Canis lupus familiaris: one gene and its partner. The protein of the gene in region 1 binds, or shares a complex with, the protein of each later gene. Links are inferred from orthologs where the notes say so. Each region holds a gene or a part of one and is shown in the gene's direction. Other genes may lie near its edges.

Region 1 (3,661 bases):
AAGGGCATCAAATACTGGAAACAGAAGAAATCTGCAGTCACTGTGATTGATACTTGATTGAGCAGCCCTGCCTTCTTTGAGCTTCTAGATATGTTCTTCCTTGGAGGAAGGGATAGCTATAAGGGTCCAGAGAGTGGTTAGCCTTCTGAAAAGGACCTTTCCAACAAGTTACTAACAAGTTACTGACTGAACTCTGTGCTTTTGCTTTGAAGGCTTCTCCCTCAGCCCGTGCAAGTCCCTGAATGCCAATGTCACTCCCTCCAAGAAGCATTCCCGGAGGCCCCTACTCCAGCCTCCCTTCTGTGAACTCATGAAGCACTTAATCTGTACCTCTCTCATAGGCCTTAGCTCTAAGCCGTGGTTGTGTCTATGTCTTGTCTTTCCCTCTAGCCTAGACTGGCAGCACTGGAGTCAGAGGTAGTTCTCTGGATAGAGGTTATCAGAGAATAACCTTCCCTATCCTCCCTCCCGGGTCCATTTGAGCCCCAAGTCCTGCCTCAGTGAGGTCTGTTGGACAGATTACCATAATAAAATACTAGTCATCTCAACCATAGATTGAACCCTAATTATTTCCTAGACCCAATGTTAAGTGGTCTATGTGCCTCGCCGTTGAATCCTCACAACTGCCCTCATAAGATGGTTTACCACTATCATTTCCATTTTACAGATGATGAAACTGAGGCTCAAGGAGGACCTAGCGACTAAGCTGGTGGAGAGCCAGATTCTGCTCCAGACTTGGATCAGCTATGCACGAGAAAGGGGCCATTCAGAGACACACCTCAGTATTCAAGAAGAGGGTCTTCATCTCCTGCAGCAACTGCCGGGCCCACGTCCGCTCATGGACCTGCTGCAGGCTGGCGGAGGCCCGCTTCAGCAGCGGCTGTGTGCCACCCCACAGGGCGGCCACCAGCACCAGAGCCAGCACCTGCCCTGGAGGGAGATGCGAGTGACCCTCATCCCCGACAAAGGGCCACCCGCCGGGCCCAGCCCTTCTCGGGCCTCTTTTCCCCCGTCAGCCACCCCCACATCCCTCCCTCGCTCTCCGACGCCCCGGGTGCGACTGGTGGGTAGGAAAGGCCCCGGGGGGCGGGTGGATGGATCCGGCGGCCCGGAGATTGGGGATCGGGCGGAGATCAAGTTCAGGGAGGGGAGGCGAAGCGGCAGAGGAACCCCGGGTAGGGTCTGGGAAGCCCCGAAAGGGGTGGGACCGCCTACCCACCAAAGGACGCCGCCATGGCAACGCCGCTCTGGCCCACTTCCGGGGGCGAAGGGGCGGAGACCCATAATCCGGAAGTGGCGCCAAAGCCTCTTCCGGTCCTACTCACGTTGCCGCTTCCCTCGCGTCAACGCCAGGATGGTGAGTTCTGAGTTGAGGTGTTAGCCTGGGGGTGTGGGACTGGGGCAGGGGCCGGTCCGGGGCGCTGACACTCCTGTCCTGTCCCCACAGAAGCCCATCCTGCTGCAGGGCCATGAACGATCCATTACGCAGATTAAGTACAACCGCGAGGGAGACCTCCTCTTCACGGTGGCCAAGGACCCTGTGAGCGTCGGCGGCCGGCGGCCCGGCGGGACCCTGCGAGGGTGGGGGGCGGCGAGAGGGGGAGACTTCTTTCGGCCGGGGTGAGGGGTGGACAGGCCGTTTTTGCCGTGAGAGGGGAGCCAAAGAGCTCCCCATTCTGAGAAGTAGGGGGAGGCCATCCCGGGAGTAGGTGGGCGAGACATTATTCCGGGATAGAACGCAGTAGTTGGTAGGAGGAGGGAGTGGCCAGGAGGAAAAAAAAGCAAGAGACCATCACGGAAGGGGGACGGAGACCAGAGTCAGACTATTCTTCCAGGGGAGGGGAGCAGGCCACCCCTAGAAGGGGAAAGCTGCTCCTTGGGCGGTGAGGGACAACAGAGGACTTCCTGGAGGTGTCCCGGGTCTCATTTCAGTAGGTCCTTGTGGGTGTCTTTCACTGAGTGCAAACAGCCCCTCACAGCAGTGCCCTTTGAGGCACCTCCATATGGAAGATGTGTTAACTCTAGTGGCCAAAAGTGGGAGTTCAGAGGCCAGCAGACCTGATTTGAATCCCGACCCCTGCATCCAGGAGCAGTGTGACTTGGAGCGTGTCATTTAACCTTGATAACTTGGTTTCCCTTTTTTTTTTTTATGAATTATGGGTACTAATAATTCTTCCCTTGTGAGAGTTGTCTTCAGGGTTAAATGAGGTTATTTGGGGAAGGAGTTTAGCACGGTAAATACCTCGTGTATGTTACTGGAGAATTGTTACTGTATTTTAAATTCCTTAGACATTATTTTTATTGAAGCCTCACAGCTACTCTTTGAAGAAGGCATTATTGTTGTGGCCATTTTACAGACAAGACAATCTGCTCAGAAGAGAGAAGCACTGTATTTGAGAGTTTCAGGAAAGACCGGAATAATGGCATGGAGATTTTGTTTTGTTTTGTTTTAAGATTTTTTATTTTATTTATTTATTCATGAGAGACACAGAGAGACAGAGACACAGGCAGAGGGAGAAGCAGGCTCCATGCAGGGAGCCTGATTGGGGGACTTGATCCCGGGTCTCCAGGATCATGCCCTGGGCTGAAGAAGGCAGGCGCTAAACCACTGAGCCACCCGGGGATCCCCAATGGAGATGTTTTTACAAGCCTCCTGACTCCCCTGCCACTTACCTGCAGGAAGGAGGAGAATCCAGGAATTGTTTTTTTTTACCAGCAGCCTACTGTTTCCCAAGACATGAGCAGGAAAGGGGAGAATCTGGCCTGGTTAGAGGTTGCTGCGGTTCCTGGGGAACCTCTAAGTAGGAGACCATTGCTCTGCCTGGGATGTTTACTATGTGTCACACTGTCATTGACTCTTCCAGATTGTCAATGTGTGGTACTCCGTGAATGGTGAGAGGCTGGGCACTTACATGGGCCATAGTGGAGCTGTGTGGTGTGTAGACGCTGACTGTATCCTTGTCTGCTCTGAGTGTGGGATCCCAGGGTCTGCCAGCGACGGAGAGGCTGCCCATGTGGAGTTGGGAGTTTGGGATGCTATTGTGGGTCTAGGGAATGATATCTCCCGCCTAATCCCTGGTCTTTTCACTGGTTGGGGGAATATTCAGGACAAGTTCCAGTTCTATATGAGAAGGTTAGAAAGTTCTGAAGTAAGAGAGGAAGAAAGGCTGTCTGGGGCTGAACAGGGAGGTGATTCCGTTGGTTTTCCAAGAGGACAGGGGCTCAGGTGAACTCGATCATGTTTCTTTAACACCTTCTTCAGGGGACACCAAACATGTCCTTACCGGCTCAGCTGATAATAGCTGTCGTCTCTGGGACTGTGAAACAGGTAAGCCTGGATCATTTACTTTTCCATCAGACAGTGACGACCTACAGTGTATCTGTTGAGGTGAACAGGTTTTGGGGAAACAGATAATCCAGAGATGGCTCCTGTTCTAAGGAACAATAAACAGACAAGAAAAGAAGCACTACAGTAAGATATAAGCCATATTAGAGAAAGCACAAAGCACTGTGGAAGGCCAGAGGGGTGAGGGGGCAACTGACTGCCTGGAATGGGAAGGGGAGCCGGCAAGGTTTCCCAAGGTGAATGTCATACGAGCTGGGGCTTTACGGATGAGAAAGAGGTCATCACTTTGGCACATACTGGAATGAAAACATGGCA
Region 2 (3,749 bases), on another chromosome or scaffold:
TCAGGGGTTGAGCATCTGCCTTCGGCTCAGGTGGTGATCCCAGGGTCCTGGGACTGAGTCCCACATAGGACTCCCTGCAGGGAGCCTCCTTCTCCCTCTGCCTATGTCTCTGCCTCTCTGTGTCTCTCATGAATCAATATATAAAATATTTAATAATAATAATAACTTCTATGTATCAGGCACATGCTAAGAGCTTTACAGAGGGTTACTCCTTGAAACCCTCTCCCAAAGCACAGACTAGCATCTCCACCTGACCACTCAACAATTCTGCTGGGATGTCTAATGAGGGTGACACCTCCAAAATTGAACTTAGGACCTTTTCAAAAAAAAAAAAAAAAAAAAACACCTGCTCCACGGGCACCTGGGTGGCTCAGCGGTTGAGCATCTGCCTTCGACTCAGGTCACGATCTCAGCCCTCGCACGGGGCTCCTTGCTCAGCAGGGAGTCTGCTTCTCCCTCTGCCCCTCACCCCACTCATGCTCACTCTCAAATAAATTAAATATTTTTTTAAAAAAACAGCCCCCTCCCTTGCCTCCTTCAATCCACTCAGATCTCACGCTCTCATTGTTACCCACCCTACCTTCTGATTCTCCCTTATTCCCCGCTCGTTTTTCCTTTTTCATAGCATCCATCACCCTGTAACATACTATATACCCTTTTGTCTCTCTCCGCTAGATATTGGGCATTTTTGAGGACAACGATCCTTGTTCTGTCCTCTGATCTACATTCCGAGGGCCTAACACAGCGCCTGGCACCTATTCACACTGGTGACTGAAGAAGCCGCCGCACCCACACCTTCTGACGCGGTGAAGAAGTGCCTTTAAAACGCACTTTATCGTCCACTACCCCTTTGAAGTCTGGAAACTCTGGGTCCACCTGGCGGCCGCTGAGCAGTCGGAGCGGTTTCTTCTCTCATCGCCGTCTCAAGTTTGTCCGGAACTATTCAGCTCCGTCCTCACTTGAGTGCTCATCGGTCTGAAATCAAAGAGCACAAACTCAGAGCCGGAAACTGTGCCGTGAGAAGCATTACCGGTAGCCAATCGGCATAAAGATCTCGTTCACGTGGTGCATCTTCAGCCTATCGTGTTCTACTACTTTTCAACTCCCTCCCTTCCGCTCCCGGCTCCTTCTCTCTCGACAAGATGGCCACACCGGCAGCCCCGGCGAGTGCTCCTGCCGCCACCCCAGCCCCAGCCTCCGCCCCGGCCGCGGCCCCAACCTCGGTCTCAGCCCCGGCCGCAACCCCAGCTTCAGCGCCAGCGCCGGCTCCGGCTCCAGCGCCGGTCCCAGCTCCAACGCCGGCTCCAGCCTCTGCCTCAGACCCGGGGACTGCGGCGGCCACGACTGCGGCTCCGGGCCAGACCCCGGCGTCTACGCCAGCCCCAGCGCAGACTCCGGCGCAGTCACTGCCGGGTCCTGCTCTCCCAGGCCCCTTCCCCGGGGGCCGCGTGGTCCGGCTGCACCCGGTCATTTTGGCTTCCATCGTGGACAGCTACGAGCGACGCAACGAGGGCGCTGCCCGAGTTATCGGGACCCTGCTGGGTGAGTGGTCAAACCGCATTGACCCTCTCGCCTCCCGTTTATCCCATTGACCTCTTGACCTATTTCTGCATCCCGTCTTTCTGCCGCGACTTCCCTCCTTGAAGGAACTCGCACTTTCCTGCCAGGTTGCTGTCACTTTGGTCGACACAGAATACGTAAGCCGTAGTGCGTTACTGAATAAGTATCGTGTGCCGAATGATCGATCCCGGGTCCCCAGGATCACGCCCTGGGCTGAAGGCGGTGCCAAACCGCTGGGCCACCCGGGCTGCCCCTGGTTTTATGTTTTATTTTTAATCTCCCCGCTAGCATTTGAGGTCAAGTGTGATTAGTCCCAGACTGCCAAAAATGAGTTCAGATGCCGACGAGGAAGTCAGAAACGTTTGACTAAACGTTCGACTAAACGCTGCCCCCCACCCCCCCCGCCGCCTTCCACCCCCTTCCACGGTCTAAATGTCCTTATTTTCCAGGTGTTTACGAGGACGTTTTAAACCAGTTGGTAAAGAAGTAGGGACTTCTGTAAAAAGACATCCCTTTCAACAAGTTTGGCAGAAACCTATTTAGGTTTTTAATGATATTCTGCTTTTCTAAACATTTAATCCTGATCTTATGTTTTTTAATCTCCCTGATATGTTAATTTGTAAAGCTGAGAAGCTAAATAGGGATTACTGATAATAATGCCCTTTTCTCTTGGGAACTGCTGATCCCATCAAAGTCCTTTTCCTTCCATCCTTGTCACCAATTTTAGATCCCTTTGTAAATGGACTCTAGCCTCGTTTGTCATTTCTCTTATTCTTGAATATGTATGTAATAGTCTTTCTAGCATAGAAGACAACTGAATTGCAAAGGGGACAAGATTTGACGGTAGATTGCACCAAATATTAACCATGTGCCTTGGGATTCCTGGGTGGCTCAGTGGCTGGGTGCCTGCCTTTGGCCCAGGGCATGATCCTGGAGTCCCAGGATCAAGTCCCACATCGGGCTCCCTGTATGGAGCCTGCTTCTCTCTCTGCCTGTGTCTCTGCCTCTCTCTTTCTCTCTGTGTGTGTCTTTCATGAATAGATAAATAAAATCTTAAAAAAAAAAAAAAAAAAAAAAAAAAAAAAAACATGTGCCTTGAGACAAATTACCTGAAGTCTAGTTCTTTCGGGGCACTTAGACTTAGTCTTTGCAGAAACTAAACTATCACCAAAAGCATCTCACTGCTGGCAGACCATTAGGTACAAAACCGCGGTTGACTGCAGTCTTCCACCACATCAGGGCTACCCCCACACCCCCAATCCCTGCCTTGCAACACACACACATTTGCCCTCTCTTTGAAGATTTAGCATTTCACAGAACCTTCAGTTGATCCATTATCTTCCAAACATCAAGGTTTTTCTCAAACCAAGCCTTTGTATTCTGTTTGACATAAATGTCTTCCCTGCTCTCTCTCATTTAAGTTTCACTCATTTCCTGGGTTCCCAGGAAAAGTGTTAAGTGTCAGTTCTTTGTCTCACATTACCACCCTCACCTCCATTCTTAACCTCCAAAGTATAGTAGCATTCTGTAAATGTGTCCTGCTTTGAGCTTCTGAAATAAATGATTTTTGCAACAAAGGTTGGCACTTGACGAATACTAATCTATTTACTCTTTGAGCTGCACTGCCAAATTTTCCAAATCCACTGGAGCTATTTAAAGAAACCCAGGGAGAATGCTCAGAGCCCCCAGATACTCTAGTGACTCTAGTTAGACCAACTAGTCTAGCTCTTCAGATCCTCTTCCAGACTGGGATAATGGTATAATGCTCAGTGTTATAGAGACAGTACTTCACTGAAGAATTAAACACAGACTGCTCACGAGGAGCTTCTGAATATTCTCAGATGTTAATTCATGAAACATTTAATTTGGTTAAATGAAATGACTGGTACTGTTTAAATACCATAAAACTGTTACATATTTTGAATTCAAAGTTTGATAAAATAACTTCTGTTCTAACCTTAAATTCAAGATGAAGATATATGCAAATAATTAGAATACAATGTGATAAATGCTTTAACTGAAGGATATTGTGGCATGGAAATGCAGAAGACTTAAAACTGCTTCAGAAGTGTGAAATGGTCAAGTTTATTGAATTCCTGTTTAGAGGTCAAATAAGCATATTTATCCGCTGGGTTTGAAGACATAGTTTTAGCAAAGGGAGCAGAAACCATAGTGAAGTGGAATTAAAC

Evidence for each region. Proteins that work in one complex are often made in the same cells at the same time.
Region 2: EIF3I (region 1) and EIF3F share a complex: the UniProt entries of both Homo sapiens proteins name them as parts of the eukaryotic translation initiation factor 3 (eIF-3) complex. The link is inferred for Canis lupus familiaris from reciprocal best matches to the Homo sapiens genes EIF3I and EIF3F.

Annotation. Positions count from the first base shown.
Region 1 is NC_049223.1:68,381,725-68,385,385, reverse strand, and holds the start of EIF3I (eukaryotic translation initiation factor 3 subunit I), read left to right. Parts: upstream 1-823; 5' UTR 824-838; coding exon 839-1,357; intron 1,358-1,447; coding exon 1,448-1,540; intron 1,541-2,864; coding exon 2,865-2,952; intron 2,953-3,262; coding exon 3,263-3,328; intron 3,329-3,661. Other genes in the region: TMEM234 (transmembrane protein 234), read right to left, coding at 1-116, 779-805. UniProt on the Homo sapiens protein: Component of the eukaryotic translation initiation factor 3 (eIF-3) complex, which is required for several steps in the initiation of protein synthesis.
Region 2 is NC_049242.1:32,120,900-32,124,648, forward strand, and holds the start of EIF3F (eukaryotic translation initiation factor 3 subunit F), read left to right. Parts: upstream 1-1,118; 5' UTR 1,119-1,142; coding exon 1,143-1,542; intron 1,543-3,749. UniProt on the Homo sapiens protein: Component of the eukaryotic translation initiation factor 3 (eIF-3) complex, which is required for several steps in the initiation of protein synthesis.